Linked DNA regions of Lytechinus pictus. The protein of the gene in region 1 purifies or fractionates together with the protein of each later gene. This does not show direct contact. Links are inferred from orthologs where the notes say so. Each region holds a gene or a part of one and is shown in the gene's direction. Other genes may lie near its edges.

The links. The genes of interacting proteins can lie anywhere in the genome.
Region 2: the proteins of probable global transcription activator SNF2L2 (region 1) and SWI/SNF-related matrix-associated actin-dependent regulator of chromatin subfamily B member 1-like purify together in Drosophila melanogaster (affinity purification with western blotting; 7 studies listed by BioGRID, with this or other methods). This does not show direct contact. The link is inferred for Lytechinus pictus from reciprocal best matches to the Drosophila melanogaster genes brm and Snr1.

The regions. Positions count from the first base shown.
Region 1 is NC_087255.1:22,750,248-22,757,560, forward strand, and holds the start of probable global transcription activator SNF2L2, read left to right. Parts: upstream 1-4,227; 5' UTR 4,228-4,319; intron 4,320-7,313. Other genes in the region: Fanconi anemia group C protein-like, read right to left, coding at 1,827-2,006. UniProt on the Drosophila melanogaster protein: Transcriptional regulator. Acts as a coactivator, assisting one or more dedicated transcriptional activators of ANTC and BXC homeotic gene clusters. Can counteract the repressive effect of Polycomb protein.
Region 2 is NC_087246.1:18,201,584-18,209,059, forward strand, and holds the start of SWI/SNF-related matrix-associated actin-dependent regulator of chromatin subfamily B member 1-like, read left to right. Parts: upstream 1-4,361; 5' UTR 4,362-4,438; coding exon 4,439-4,525; intron 4,526-7,476.

The DNA.
Region 1 (7,313 bases):
GGGCACAAATCCATAACAGGACACATCCAATTTATTGACTCATATGACATCCAAATCATTCATAATAGTCTGGGAATGATAACTGAAGTATTTTTCCTCATTATGGAAGCAAAAGGAAACAAAATAGTAAACATACGAAATATACAATATAAACAGATTTTTTTTTTTTTGGCTCCCCATAATTTTAGCACAGAATAGACCATGGTCTAAGTTAAACCCGACTTCAGAATACGGGCCAAATTGTTCGATTCTGGATTTTTGTACATGCCATCAATACGCAGGCTTGGCTAATATGGGGCAAATCTCAGATGAAAAAAAAAGCAAATTCTATGAAATCAATTAACAGTTGTTGGTCTGGATACCATTTCAGCAGCCAACATGTTATTGACATTGTTTTGAGGCAGACTGAGCTGAGATTTTGTTCTAGGCAGATTTTCAGTGCTAGATTGGAGATAGCTATAGGTCCAATGTGTCTACTGACATTTCATCAATTTTTTTGTTTACTTATTAATATTAAAACTGAACTAAAATTTCATTTCATATACTTCATATACTATATATCAGTTAAAGGGGAAGTTCATCCCTGACAAAAGTTTATTGTAAAAATAGCAGGAAAAAAAAATTATATTGCCAAAGGTTTGAAAAAAAAATCCATCATTTGAAGAATTAAAAAGTTATTAGAATTTCAATTCATTGATTTTTTTACGTCATAGGCGAGCACCATTCCTACATAGCGAATGGTAAAAATCAATGAAATGTCATTTTCTCAGAAAATTTGGAATGGTTTTTACTGTACCTTTTTATATCAATAGACAAATCATTTCACACCTGATCATGAATAGAAAACAAAAATGAGTCATCAGGAACCATTTAAAAAGAGAGAGGAAATTTATGCATTTCTATACAATAACATATGGGGCAGCTACTCGGTTATGACATCACAAATCAAAAATTTTAAATTCTAATAACTTTCTTTATAATCTTTTACAGATTTTCCTCAAACCTTCACCAATATATTTTATTATTCTTTTTGTTAGTTTTACGACAAACTTTTCTTCAGGGTGAACTTTCCCTTTAAATCTTCAGATTATTATTACTTATTGAAGAATTCAAGAGTCAGACTCAGCACACTTAAGCATATAGTCTCCAAAGGTCAAACCATCCAAAACTTGCATGAATGATTGTAGAATTTCATTGAAAATATCCTGTCCAAATATTGAATTATTACTGAGTTACTGTCTACTACTATAAAAAAAAAATGGCATTATCGTGGTTTATGTCACCAGTCCATTCACTGCCGTTTATTTCGTCAGCGGGGGTGACATCTTTCCACTCCCATTGACTTTGTACACAACGAGCGCACACACACCGACACACACAAGAAGAGAGGTGACAAATTTCACGATAAGGCCAAAAAAATAAATGAATAGTTTAATACTTGATTCAAGTAATAAAGAAATAAAATGAAAAACATTGACAGACATAATTCAGGTGAGAAGCTATTGTAGGCCCTAGTCAGTTAAATAAAAACTTTGAAATCGCACAAGAATAAAAATTTTCAAGTTATAATATAGATTCACGTATTTGATAAATTCATTTTCTTATCATTTATGGCTTAATTAAATACATGCAATTATATGGCAATGCATTGCAATTGAATTGTCATTGCCTGACTTGACTCGTATAGTCACTTCGCCATGCCCAGGCCATGGCCATTTGAGTGGGGAGTGGGCGTGGCAGCTATGTTACTTGCAGTTGCATCACTCAAGCCCAAGACATCCGAGACATGCATGCATCCCTGTGCATCCCTCCCTCCCAATACTCACTGCGATCAATCGGTTGAGCACCGCCGAGAGAAAGGTTTGAAGTTGTTCACTGCTTTGCGATATTTCCCGCGCTGGCGTTGATCTTCGATGATTCTGTTTCATTGAAACCCATTCTTCTGCTCTTTTCAACCAATATATAACATTATCATTAGAAAGCTTGTCATTTGTTGACATTTCCATATCTGAAAGCGATGGGGTTTGTCAACATTTCCACGTGAAAGATTGTAGTTTTTCGATTTGTATAACATGAAGGGCACCAATGAATTTGTACGTCTACAAAATGTAAATAAAGAAAGGAGCACAGTCTTATCGCAGACCTGTAGGATAGCTTCAAGGAATTATTGCGTGAATATAATACAAACAAGATAGTCTGATCCCCGAGACCATCACTTTAATTTTCTTTAGTGGTACATAAATAATATCGTTGTCCTTAAAGAATAAACTGATTATAATATTACAAATAATTTATTATATTATTTCTGTTTTGCAGCATTTTAATGACAAATATATGAGCAAGTACATATTAAAGCGACTGGAAAGCGAAATAGAAGTCATACCAGCTGAAGTTATCGCTTAATTTTTTTTTCTAATTGTCATGCAGTGGCATAACCACTGAACTGGAAATACGTATTCCCAGTTCAGTGGGCAGAACATACCTTGTTGTGGGCGTAAAGTTTTACCTATAAAACTTGTTTGCCCCTGGCATGTCGATTTGAAGATTTTAATACAGCTCTCGTATAAACACACCCCACGGTTTCCCCACCCACGATGAAGATAATAATAAAAATGAAGATAATAAGAGGGGTTTAAGCATCGGGGAAGGGGGGGGGGGGGGCTCTATAATTTTCAAGTAGTGAAAAAAAGGAAAATTGAAAAATATAGAGAAAAAAAAGAGAATAAATAATAAGTCGTATTTAAAGGGATATCCGGGCTGAAATATTTATATCTAAATAAATAGAGTAAAATTCACAGAGCAAAATGCTGAAAATTTCATCAAATCGGATAACAAATAACAAAGTTATTGAAATTTAAAATTTAGCAATATTTTGTGAAAATAGTATGCACGTCATCCTGAATATTCATTAGGTGGGCTGATGATGTCACTTCGCCCACTCTCCCTTTTCTTATGTTATTACATGAAATCATAATTGTTTCATTTTTTCACACATGTGTAAATGATGTGTCTCCATTATAGCAAAATAGGTTGCAGCAATGTATAATTAATGCACTTAATAATCGTGTCAATCCAAAAAGAACTAATTTAGTTCTTGGTAGAAAATTTTAAAATAAATTACTAGTAACCTTATTTCAAATAATAAATACAAAAGAAGTGCGGATATGACAAACTTCATGAATATTCATAAAGACATGCCTAAAACTGTTTCACCGCGGAATAATGCAAATCTTTAAAATTCAATTTGTTTATTTGTTATCCGATTTTTATTTAATTTTCAGCATTTTGCTCTGTGAATTTTACTCTATTTATTGAGATATGAATATTTTCAGCATGGAGTATGCCTTTACCTTTGTCAGATCTGGATTTTTTTAGCCACATTAATTATCTTTAACTCGCCAAACAAAGTAGAAGATGGTTTGCAGCAGGGGCGTCGGTCCATTTTTCAGATTGGGGGGGGGGGGGCAAAATCATGAATCACTGACGTTCCAAAGGCGCTTGATCACACAAAACAAACAAACTCACCCACACACACATACACAGGCCTATATATAATGTGATGACTACTTGTACCAAACGCTCTTGAGGTGTGAGTATATGAAACATAATGAAATGAGGACAACTCAAAAGATGACGCAGGAAACCATTCTTAGCTTTAGCTTTCGTCTTTATGAAGACTTCGTCAGAAGCAGTCTGTAATTAACTAATTACTAGTACAGACTATTGTGGTAGTAAAGTAGGATGCCTAGATCATTGCCTACCGTGCCGCCTATCGATACTGAAGCCCCCAGCACCCCCCCCCCCCCCACTTCCACGGCCCCTGATTATAAATGTATGTAATTTTGTGTAAGATAAATTAATTTGAAGTATTTTGGTTTGGGAGCACTTGGCACTTGGCAAAATATGCATGACTCACAAATCGTCTTCTCCTCAAATCTCTCTTTTTTTCTCCATAAAATTCATGACTACCGCTCCATGACCTCCATCCAATTTGATGCTAAATCTCTAACTTACAGGATTTGGATTGTTCTATTGGTTCTGGGAATCTCCAAAACAGTAGAGGGATCACCTAAGAGAGAGGTGTCTATCTTGTAATGACAGTGCCCCATCTTGGATTTTATCTTTTTCTTCAGATCATCAGATGGGCAAGAAAATCACACCAATTCCGATTATTTCCGGAAATTACCGACCGAAATGCGCTGCATGCTATGTATGCTGCGCTTCTTCAGTTTTCCGAAATTCACTGAACAAAAGGCTTGTTGCGGAGTATTGTGTGCGATAAAAGTGGGTCGCCGAAAGCTAAAAGTCGATTTTAATCGGTAAGAGAGTTTGTTCATATCTAAATCACCTGATAAATACCTATGTTTATTCTTGAATTCAAATTAAGACATGTTGTGGATGTACTGTACAAGGATCTTTCGTGGTGCTTGTTCGAAAATGGTCCAGGCCAAGCAAGAGTCGTGTAATTTTGTATGACGAGGAACCGATCGAGAGCTTGGCTTGGCTTGTGCATTGGCAAATTGTGTGTGATTGAATGACATGATTTTGTGAATTACAAAGAAGGCTACACAGTGTTATTGTTAGACTTGTGAAAAAAATATAAAGAATTGGGAGGGTGAACGAAAGAATGAAGGAGAGAATGAAAAGATGAAAGAAAAGAGATGAAATGGCTTGAAAAGAAAGGAAGAAAAAATGAAGGAAAAACTTAAAAAAGAATAAAACAAAGTTAGAATAAAGAAGGATGAAACTAAGAAAGAATAAGAGAGAAATAAGGTTTCCGTCATACTTTGAATTGAATATGGAAAGAAAGAAAAAGAAAGGAAGGGAAGATGAATAGTTAAATGTGAAAGAAGGAGAGAAAAAAGTAAGAAAAATGGAGGAAGAAAGAAAGAAAAATGGAGGAAGAAAGAAAGAATGAAGGAAAGAAAAATGTTTCCTTCATTTGAAAGAAAAAAATAAAGAAAGAAGAAAACAGGAATGAAGGGAGGGAAAGAAAGAAAGAATTAGAAGGAAAAATAGAATAAAGAATGAAAGAAAGGAGGAAAAAGAGGGAGGAGAGAATGAAAAAAAGAAAATAATGGAAGGAGAGAAAGAACGAAAAGAAAAAAGGAGAAGGGAGAAGGAAGCAAAGAAAAGTTTAAGGAAAGAAAGAATAGAGGAAATAAAAGAAATTAAAGAAGGCAGGTAAGAGAAAAAAAGGAAAGAAAGAAAAATGAACAGAGAGAGAAAGGATCAGAAAAGAAAGATAGGAAATTAAAGATAGATGGAACAAAAAAGGGTAAGCAGGAAGGATAGAAGGATGAAAAAAGAAGGATAGGAAAGAAAGAGGAAAAAGTTCAAACTTCAAGTGAACAAAAACAATCCAATCATCTAACAAAAATCATAATGATATTTGGTTTTTTTTTTTAACATATTTTTAAAATTTTAGAAAACTAAAATGTTTTAGAAATGAATAAAATTTCAAAGTGAAACATTGTCAACTTAAAAATTAGATGAAACATCGCCGCATCATACATGTACGCAACAAGACTCAAAACAAAAGCTGAAACAGCTGGATCTAGTTATGAAAACTCAATAGCTTGTTCCCTCCGATTACATATCCAAATCAGCAATCTGAGAATCCATAATATAATTATACAAATTTCCCGCTGATTTTGTGATTATTTTGGTGGAAAACTGTTTATCATGTCATTGTTTGCACCATTGAGAATCTGCTCCGATCCTACATGCCTAGCTAGTAGCCAGCCACACACAGGCAGGAGGCCAGTTCGTTTGTGCATGTATTGGGTTAGCAAGAAAATCACCGCAGAACTTGCAAAAGTTTAGTTATCGATTTTATTGTCGTCTCTGCTTCGTCATCTGTTTGATGAAATGTTATTATTATTAAATGTATTAACTATATTTTGTTCAATATTCTGAAGTACGGGACAAATAGGCGTCCGGGGAAGGGTTTGCCGGGACAAAGGAGCAAAATATGGGATGTTCCCGGGAAATACAGGACGTCTGGTCACCCTAGTTGTGTGTAAATTTTCAGTTTTAGCCCGGTGCATTATGAATTGTGGCATGGTACGCTAGTTTGGCAGACATAATTAACAGGCAAAATTGGTACATGTATGGCAAGTTCCCCTATAAAGTATGCGCAGTCCCCTTTGTCTGTTCATACGCGTATCTGCACGATTCTAGTAAAAGAAGATACGCAACGAACACACACATCTAATGCATAGACAGAAATTATTTTACAAAACCAGACTCACAATGGTGGAAAAATAATGAAATTTGAGCATTTCTTGCGACGGCCTCAAAATGCAGCCTTTCTCATCAAATCCCAGAATCGCGTGCAAAGTGATTGGTGCGCAGACATGGGGCACCATTTTTTGTTCAATCTGAAAATTACTGCCCCAGTTTTTTTTTCTAAGAAAATCATATATTTCTTTCAAATTTTTATGAGATATTTGGCACACTAAATCATAATGATGTGAGGAACATTATTAATTGAAAGATTTTGTGAAATAAAAAGAAATTCATGTTAAATCTTAACTCAAATCGTTAGGTGCCCAGACTTGGGGACCACCATCATATTTAGGTCTAACATTAAATAAATGTTATAAATGGGCATTAAAAATGATGCCCAGCAGCTACCTCAAGTATAGTAGAGTGTTTTGTCAAGATTTTTTTTTTTTAGGTCTAAATGACATTATATTATCTTGAACGATGGTCCACTATTTTCTTTAGACTCTAATCTTTCTTTTGATACAATGCATTTTCAAATAAAATTTCAAAAATATATGTTACCGATGATTTGTTCCTTATTTTTTGAATTTTTCTGCCGGAGAGGAAAAACTGGCAGCCATTTGTTGCTGCCCTGACATACGTTCGTTGAGTTAGGCTTTCATGAAGGCTTTCCCATTAGAATTATCGATATCCTGGCCAATCTATGCGAGCGACAAGTTCCGAACGCACGCATGCGCATTTGCATGATCAGATCTTGATCTATAGTCCTACTCATGAATATTCATGAATTGAGCTGTGATTTCTGCGCATGCACAATTTGCGTTTGAGATGTTGGAATCGGCAGTGAATTAATATGTGTGAGGAAACCGATACTGGCTCTAAATCACCAATTTGAAACTGATAGAAGCATGAAAAAGAAATGAAACTTTGTGAAATGTACCGTGGTACATGTAAGATGAGTTGTTATAAATGAATTGTAAGGTCATTTTGTTGCATGAGTTTGATATTCCCCCCATAAAGTGACACCTTAGCAGAGCGAGTTTTGTATATGTACCTTGATATTCGGGTAGGTGTAGCGTAGC
Region 2 (7,476 bases), on another chromosome or scaffold:
ATATAGATATATATGTATTATGTATACAAGCGCTCATACACTTGTGCAAAAACGTGTGGCTGGAAACTTTGAAAGAATAGAGTATGGTATATGATAAGCAGTGTGTTCATGTTGAGTCACCAAAATATGAAAATTTTTAGGTACAATTTAGGGAGTGTTTTGAATTCATTACACATAAAATCAATCATGCTCAGAAGATTTCTTTTGTATCTTCAATATTTTCTTGGGTTTTCCATTCTTTTCAAGTGATACCATTAGATGGGTATTTTGAGTGATATGAACTGATTTACATTTATAAAAATGTCAATGTTATTACATGTATGAGTGTGATATGTATTGTAACCAAAGCTACTGAAAGACATGTTGGGTAGATACTTTTGTTGCCTTAATGGCAGGTTAGCCATTTTTTTTTTCTTTTTATGGCAGGTTTTATTTAATTTTTTTTTTATCTTCATAAATCATTTTCTTTGGAATCGCTGTCGCATTACCTCTGTTTTTTCCTTTGTTAATATTTCTTTTAATAATTCAAATATGTTTCATTTTTGTACTTGTAAAGTGTGGTGAATACAACAGGTCATCAAATTATTTTGAAGAAAAAGATGAGTATCATTTGAAATCTCAACATCATGATTTATTTGAAAATAACTTTTTTTATTCCATTTCATAAATCAATTAATTTAGTTGGACATACTGAATTTTTAAGTTAAATTGAGGAGAAAGTAATACTTTTTATTGGTTGTCCAATTTTCTCATGAAGTCTTAATGGTGAAACAGATTATGCTTGCTTTATAGAGGTTGTATACACAGTTGATTTTTTTTTTATTCATTGAAACCTGTATATAAAGAATACTTAAAGGAGACAAGAAATTTGTATTTTATGAACACATGGTCTAAGATGAATTCAACTACAGAGCACATTTACTTATAGCAGCCATAACTGTATTTATTTTTATTTTATTTATACATTTATTTATTTATTATTATTATTTTTTTTTTTTTGGGGGGGGGGGGATTCCAAAGAAGAATGAAAGCATTTTCAATAAATTATGCAATAAGCAAGGTGTGTTGCTATGTAAATGCATGTAGTGCATAAATCATGTTGAAGATCCAAATTAGAAATTTAAAAAAAGAACAGCACCCAAACTGAATTTATCTATAGATATGGAAGATTCCTTGATTGCATGTTCAGTGGGGAAAAATATTCAAGGGAAATCAAATTTGTGGTCATTATAGATAGGTTGTATTTCTACACATGCTTTTGCTAAAGAAGGTTTGACTGTATATGGGATGCCAATTGAATCTACTTTGGTATGTGTATGTTTCCCACCTCTCACTAAGTTTATATTTGTTACCAATGGAAAATGAAGAATAGTGTACTTTTGTCCATATGTCTATGGTTCCACAGACAATCATAAGTTGGAGGCCAAATATACACGTGTAAAAAGATATGTGTCTATACTACTTGTACCAGTCAAGACAGTATATAGCCAGTGATTTCAAACATTTAACATATGTGATGCCATTTTTTTTATTAATAATTTTCTTTATCTTTTTTAATGTCTATGTGAATATAAAAAGGAAAATGGGAATGAAAACAGCATGTAAGCACAGGACATTTTTTTTTGCATTTTGGATTGTGTTTATTGAAAATATAAAGAATCAATTTTTTTTTTGTGTGTGGAAGATGTGAATGAGCCTGTAAAGGCCATTTATGTTGATATTTTTATTCTGTTCTCTTTCAGGACTCTCGTCTCATTTTCATTTTGTGCAAGCACCCATTAGTAAGGTGGAATGGAATACCCTTTTTCCCTTTTTTATGTTTATCTTCTATATACATCTTAAGTAACGTTATTGCTCATGCTTTATGTTATCCTCGCCATGTAAAGAATCAAAATAGTCTTATTTTATTTGTTTCACACATTGATCATCTTAATCCTTAATGTTTCATTTTATTTAAGTGTGTATGTTTGTTTGATAATGATGCAAAGCTTAAAAATCAATGAAATAATTACTTGTGTATTGCACATTAGTATTATAAATGATTTATGTGGACTATATACCATATGTATCATAGTGTCCGTACGATGTTTTATGATGTTGATTAATTCACCCAGAATGCAGTACATGAACTCAAATTTTTTTGTCATTTAAAATCTTAAAATAAGTAGCAGATTAGATAGCAATGTAAAACAGAAAGAGAGAGAGAGAAACAAAGACTCCAGAATGTGTAATTATTTTTCAGCTTCACTTTGTATACATTTATTGGACTCTAATAAATTCCTTGCCATGCTATAATCTTGTCTGCAGATATGATTTTTATATGTATAATTTGTTATTGCAGTATGTTCAAGAACAGGGGAGTGTTTTATCAAGTTGACAGATCTGACATCTTTCCTAGATTTTGATTGGCTTAGAGGCACTGTTATTATGGTAACCATCAGATAAAATGGGGTTTGTTGGATGAAACAAACGTGAAATGCTCCCCAGGACTCTGTGACACAAAGGTTTGCCATCAACTGCTAAATGGCATTGGCCAGTCAAGAACATTGTTGCATGTGTATTTTGTTTCAGATATTGAGCAGAAACCAATTAGAGCCTTTTTTTTATATTTGCATTCAGATTGCAAACCTATGTGTTGCAGGGCTAAAAACTGCCTCGGATTGAAAGATGGCATCCTGAAGTAATAAAACGTGTTTTTAAAAGCTCCATAAAATCTGATTTGTCAAGACTTGAAAAATAGAAATTAATATTCACAGTTGATTTGCATGGGAATAAGTCGATGACGACTCTACACTCCCAATTACAAGTAGGAGGCTCTGTTTTTTACTTCGTGAACCAGACTTGACTCTTTAAAGGTCAAGTCCACCAAAGAAAATGTTCATTTGAATAAATAGAGAAAAATCAAACTAGCATAACGCTTAAAATTTCATCAAAATCGGATGTAAAATAAGAAAGTTATTGCATTTGAAAGTTTCTCTTATTTTTCACAAAACAGAGATATGCACAAGTCGGTGTCATGCAAATGATGAGTCTATGTCCATCACTCACTATTTCTTTTGTTCTTTATTGTTTGATTTATACATTATTTCATTTTTTACAGATTTGACAATAAGAACCAAGTTGACTGAACCATATAGTATTAAATAATGCTAATTCCACATGTTCAAGAGGAATTAATCATTGTTTCAATAGCCTGACAATGAGGAGAAAATTAGAATATTTCATACTTCATATAATAAAATACAAAAGAAACAGTGAGTGGATGATGTCATCAGTTTCCTCATTTGCATACCAACCATGATGTGCATATAACTGTTTTGTGAAATTAAGTGAAACTTTAAAATGTCATAACTTATTTTACATCCAATTTTGATGAAATTTTCAGTGTTATGCTGGTTGGATTTTTCTTGATTTGTTCAGGTGGACTATTTGTTGGGGTGGACTTGTCCTTTAATACATCTCGAGTTGTGTGCCCCGCAAAACTGATTGTGTTATAGGTCCTTGTGTCCAATTGACTCACAAACATTGTTTCTTCAACTATCATGATAGAAGCATGCATAGAAGGTGGAGAAACAGGGGAGGGTAGAGAGAGGGGATAGAGAGATGAGGCCGCTCCTAGGTGAGGGAGGGAGGTAGGGAGAGCGAGAGGGAGAGAGCAAACAAATACCAACAAAGCAAAACGTGAGTTTACAAACTGGAGTAAACTCATGAAGACCATATACGTCTCGTGACATATCAAAGTGGATGCCATATGCTTTTACACATGGACTTCCAAAATGGACCCTGAACAAGTCATAATCCTCAATCAGATATCTAACCAAATATTTTGTCATGTCTTTTTTTAATCCTAAAATGCCTGAAATATATCACTGTCATGATAGGGTAGAAAACTGTTTTTCTTGATTTTGGCCTTGTCACTATATGACGTTACATTCCTCGCTGTGATAACCCTCTTTTATATACATGCTTTTGTGTACTTTCACAGTGTCCACATTGAAATGGCAGTGCCAGTCCTCCCCAAAGCCTCATTGATTTAATATTCACATCTAAGTTATACACATGCCCCGTTATTTCACTAAAATGATGCCCTTGTTGTGGCTCATTCTGGTAAAATCTGCCCCCCGCAAAAAAAAGAGAAAGCCAGTGGAAGATATATTTTTTTCATTTATAATTAAATCGTAGACTATTAAATTGAAATTGAATTGGATTGATTGAATCGAAAAAAATCAAGTAGGGTGGAAAAACGGTACTATCATCTAGTAAATAATTAATTCGGTGCCCCGCGGTGTGGGGCCTTCACTGACCCCCTTCAATTTTTTTCTTTTTAATTGCTGGCGCGGCGCTGAAGTAAATTCGCCAATACCATTCACGATAACATTCGTGATTTCGATTCGGCTGCGCTGATATTAAAGGAAAGTACGAAAGAAAAGGATACAAAATGGGGACACCTCTAAAAACATACGGGAAGAAGCCCGATGTCTTCCATTTTGAAGAAGGAGGAGAGCAATATATGATTGGTTCTGAAGTAAGTAAAATTCGTTTTATTGATATTTTGCCTCAAATTAGTGGTAGGAAAAGACACACTCGCTGACATGACACAGTCAGTCTGTGCAGTGTGTGGCACGTCGCGGAACGCATCCCCTGCCCGGCGTCAGCCCAAAGCCAAAGGCCAAATCCTTTGTTCGCTGTGCGCTGAATTCCTGCGGCTGCGCTGCCTTTTTTTGTGGGGGGGGGGGGGGGGGGGAGGGGACTTTCATATACATGCCCACTCTACCAAAAGCAAAAAAAAATAAATTATGTGATCTTGAACTAGAAGATATTAAAAATTAAAAATTAGGGCCAAATTGTGGTTTCGGGAACCACTCGTCGATTATTTTATTTGTTCGCGTGCACTTTAAGTTCTAACATTAACATTAATTATTTAAAGTTAAAGTTAAACGTTAGTCAGCAGAGTCGAGGTGGATTACGTTAGGGTTTATTACATGCCACCGCACACAGAAAAATCAAGCCATAGATGATAAGAAGTCGTGTGTTGTGGACACCAGACAGTAGAGGCGCACAGCCAATATTGGAGACTGTCTCCAATGTGGGAGATTATCTCCAATATCAGAGACTTTTGTAAAGAATTTGGGTAGGCCCCCCCTATCCAATTTCAGAGACAGTCTCCAGTTTTGGAGACCAATTTCCTTTGTTTACATTTGCTGCAAAAGGATTACCTTGGCGGCAAATAAAAATGTGCTAAGGAGATTCCTCATGAAAAATTGCCCCTTTTCACCGTCTACTTTAAAAATTCACCGTCTACTTTTGTTTTGATAAGGATTTTCGTTGTCAATCACACACAAAACAAATGGGCTTCTGACCTCAGTGAGACAAAATTTTGGATGGAAAAAATCATGCTATTGTTGGTGTTGTTTCTTTTGTCCTTTTGCAAAGCAAAGGTGGTGCTGCACCATCCCGAGTTTGCTCAATCTCGAGATTTTAGCCCGATCGGCCCACTTCGCGATTAATCTCGAGATTCAAGAAACCCCGTCTGCACCATCGCAAGACAGCGATTCCTGCTCGAGCGAGGCAACAAACCCGATATTTCGAGCATGCGCACTTTCGGATCTTGGAGTTTCAACGGCCCGCGCTTTTGAATAACTTCCCGCGATATGCAAGCAATGTACTCCTTTCACTAGCACTTTCGCCGAATTCGACCGGTGTTATGCAACAATCCTCTCAGCCCAGCGAGTGAAGAAGTGATGTATTCTTCGTTAAATATGAGTAGGAGACAACGACAGAGAGAGAGAGAGAGGGAGAGAAGGAGGAAAGAAATGCTATTTGCTCACATTTTGCGAAGGAATAAGACAACACTGCTGTCAGTGTTGTTATTGAATATGACCATCGTCGATGAGCGCCTCCCCCTTCGGTCTGGTCTCTCCCAAAATCCATTCACTGGTGGGACACCATCGTTGCTTATTAGGCAATTGATGAACGCTATTCGCATGTATAAAGTTGACTTTCGCACGTGTTTATGTTTTGACCAAGGCGGAAGTGGAACGCGAATTGCATTATGGACTGACGTCATGAATAAATTACCCTGAGTCCAATCTCGAGTGCGTCTGCACCGACGAATTAGCGGGATAATTCGTAAAATAGCGCGCTATTTTGCAAATAAACCCGAGTTGACTTGGGATTGCAATCTCGAGATTAATCCTACGAACTAGCGCGATAATTGCGTCTCCACCGCCAACTATCTCGAGATTTTTCAGATCGGGATAATTTGCCGGATCAGAAATAGCGCGCTAATTTGAAAACTCGGGATGGTGCAGACGGCCCTTATGTCTCCAATGTGGGAGATTGTCTCCCCTATTGGAGAGAGTCTCCCATATTGGCCGTGCGCCTCTACTGCCAGAAGTGGGATCGCAGCACGCGCGACCCACTACTAGTTAGAAATCCACTGCCAAACGCGGTTCATGGTGGGAGGTTAGTATATTAACCTCGCAATACGTGTGAGTGACGTTAGAGAACCGATGCGTGTGACCGAATAAAGACACTGCTGTGTTCCCTATTTCACGAAATTATGCCAGGGATTGCCAGATTTAGGATGGAAAAGTTGTATGTGGCTTTAGATCTAGATCTATAGTCGGAGTCTAGACCTCTAATTATATTCTGAATTCTGTCAAATTTTCGTGCATGATCAAGTAGGCCTAGGCTAGGCTAGAGTATATTAGTGGATCATATATTTACTACCAATCACTGTTTATAGTCATACTATTATAGATCTACAGTACATTCAATCATATTTCTTGAAATTTATCAAACTTCCACCATAGATCTACACAAATAGATCTACCTACAAAAAATAAATTACCGAGATAAGTTTTCTTTTTACGATCAACTTTCGATCGCACCCCTCTCCGCATGTGAAATTCACTTGAAAATGGTATCATAATTCATTACCCAAGGTGTGTTTTCTGTGGGAAAAGCTAAGTATGATAATTCTCAAAATCACTGATCAGCTATTTTGAGCATATGTAGTTCAGAGAGAAAAAAAAAACCCCTCTATTTTCATCACTTTTGGCTTTGGAATGATGTTGCAAAGTTTTTTGAAATTATTTTCTGATGTCTCAATATATGTATGCATGTTGAGTAATACAAGGCCAGCCGCTGTTGGTACTGTTTCTCCTGAAACTAACTGAACAGTAGAATTTTAATGTGTGCATGCCATGGCAACTATTTTAGGGGTGTAGGCATGTCTTTGCTTTAAAAGAAATTGTGTCGGGTCTCGTGAGGGGGGGATGGGACTTGTGGACACTGGACACCATACTAGTACACATAATTTTAATAAATTTTGAACAAAACTGAGAATGCGAAAGCTCATATACAGGACATTTCTTTTTTATTTGAAATGAGCTGCTCTGCAAATAAAAAATACAGAAAAAAGAGAAATTAGCTTTAAAGCTGAACTCATCACACCCCTGCAAATTCACTACA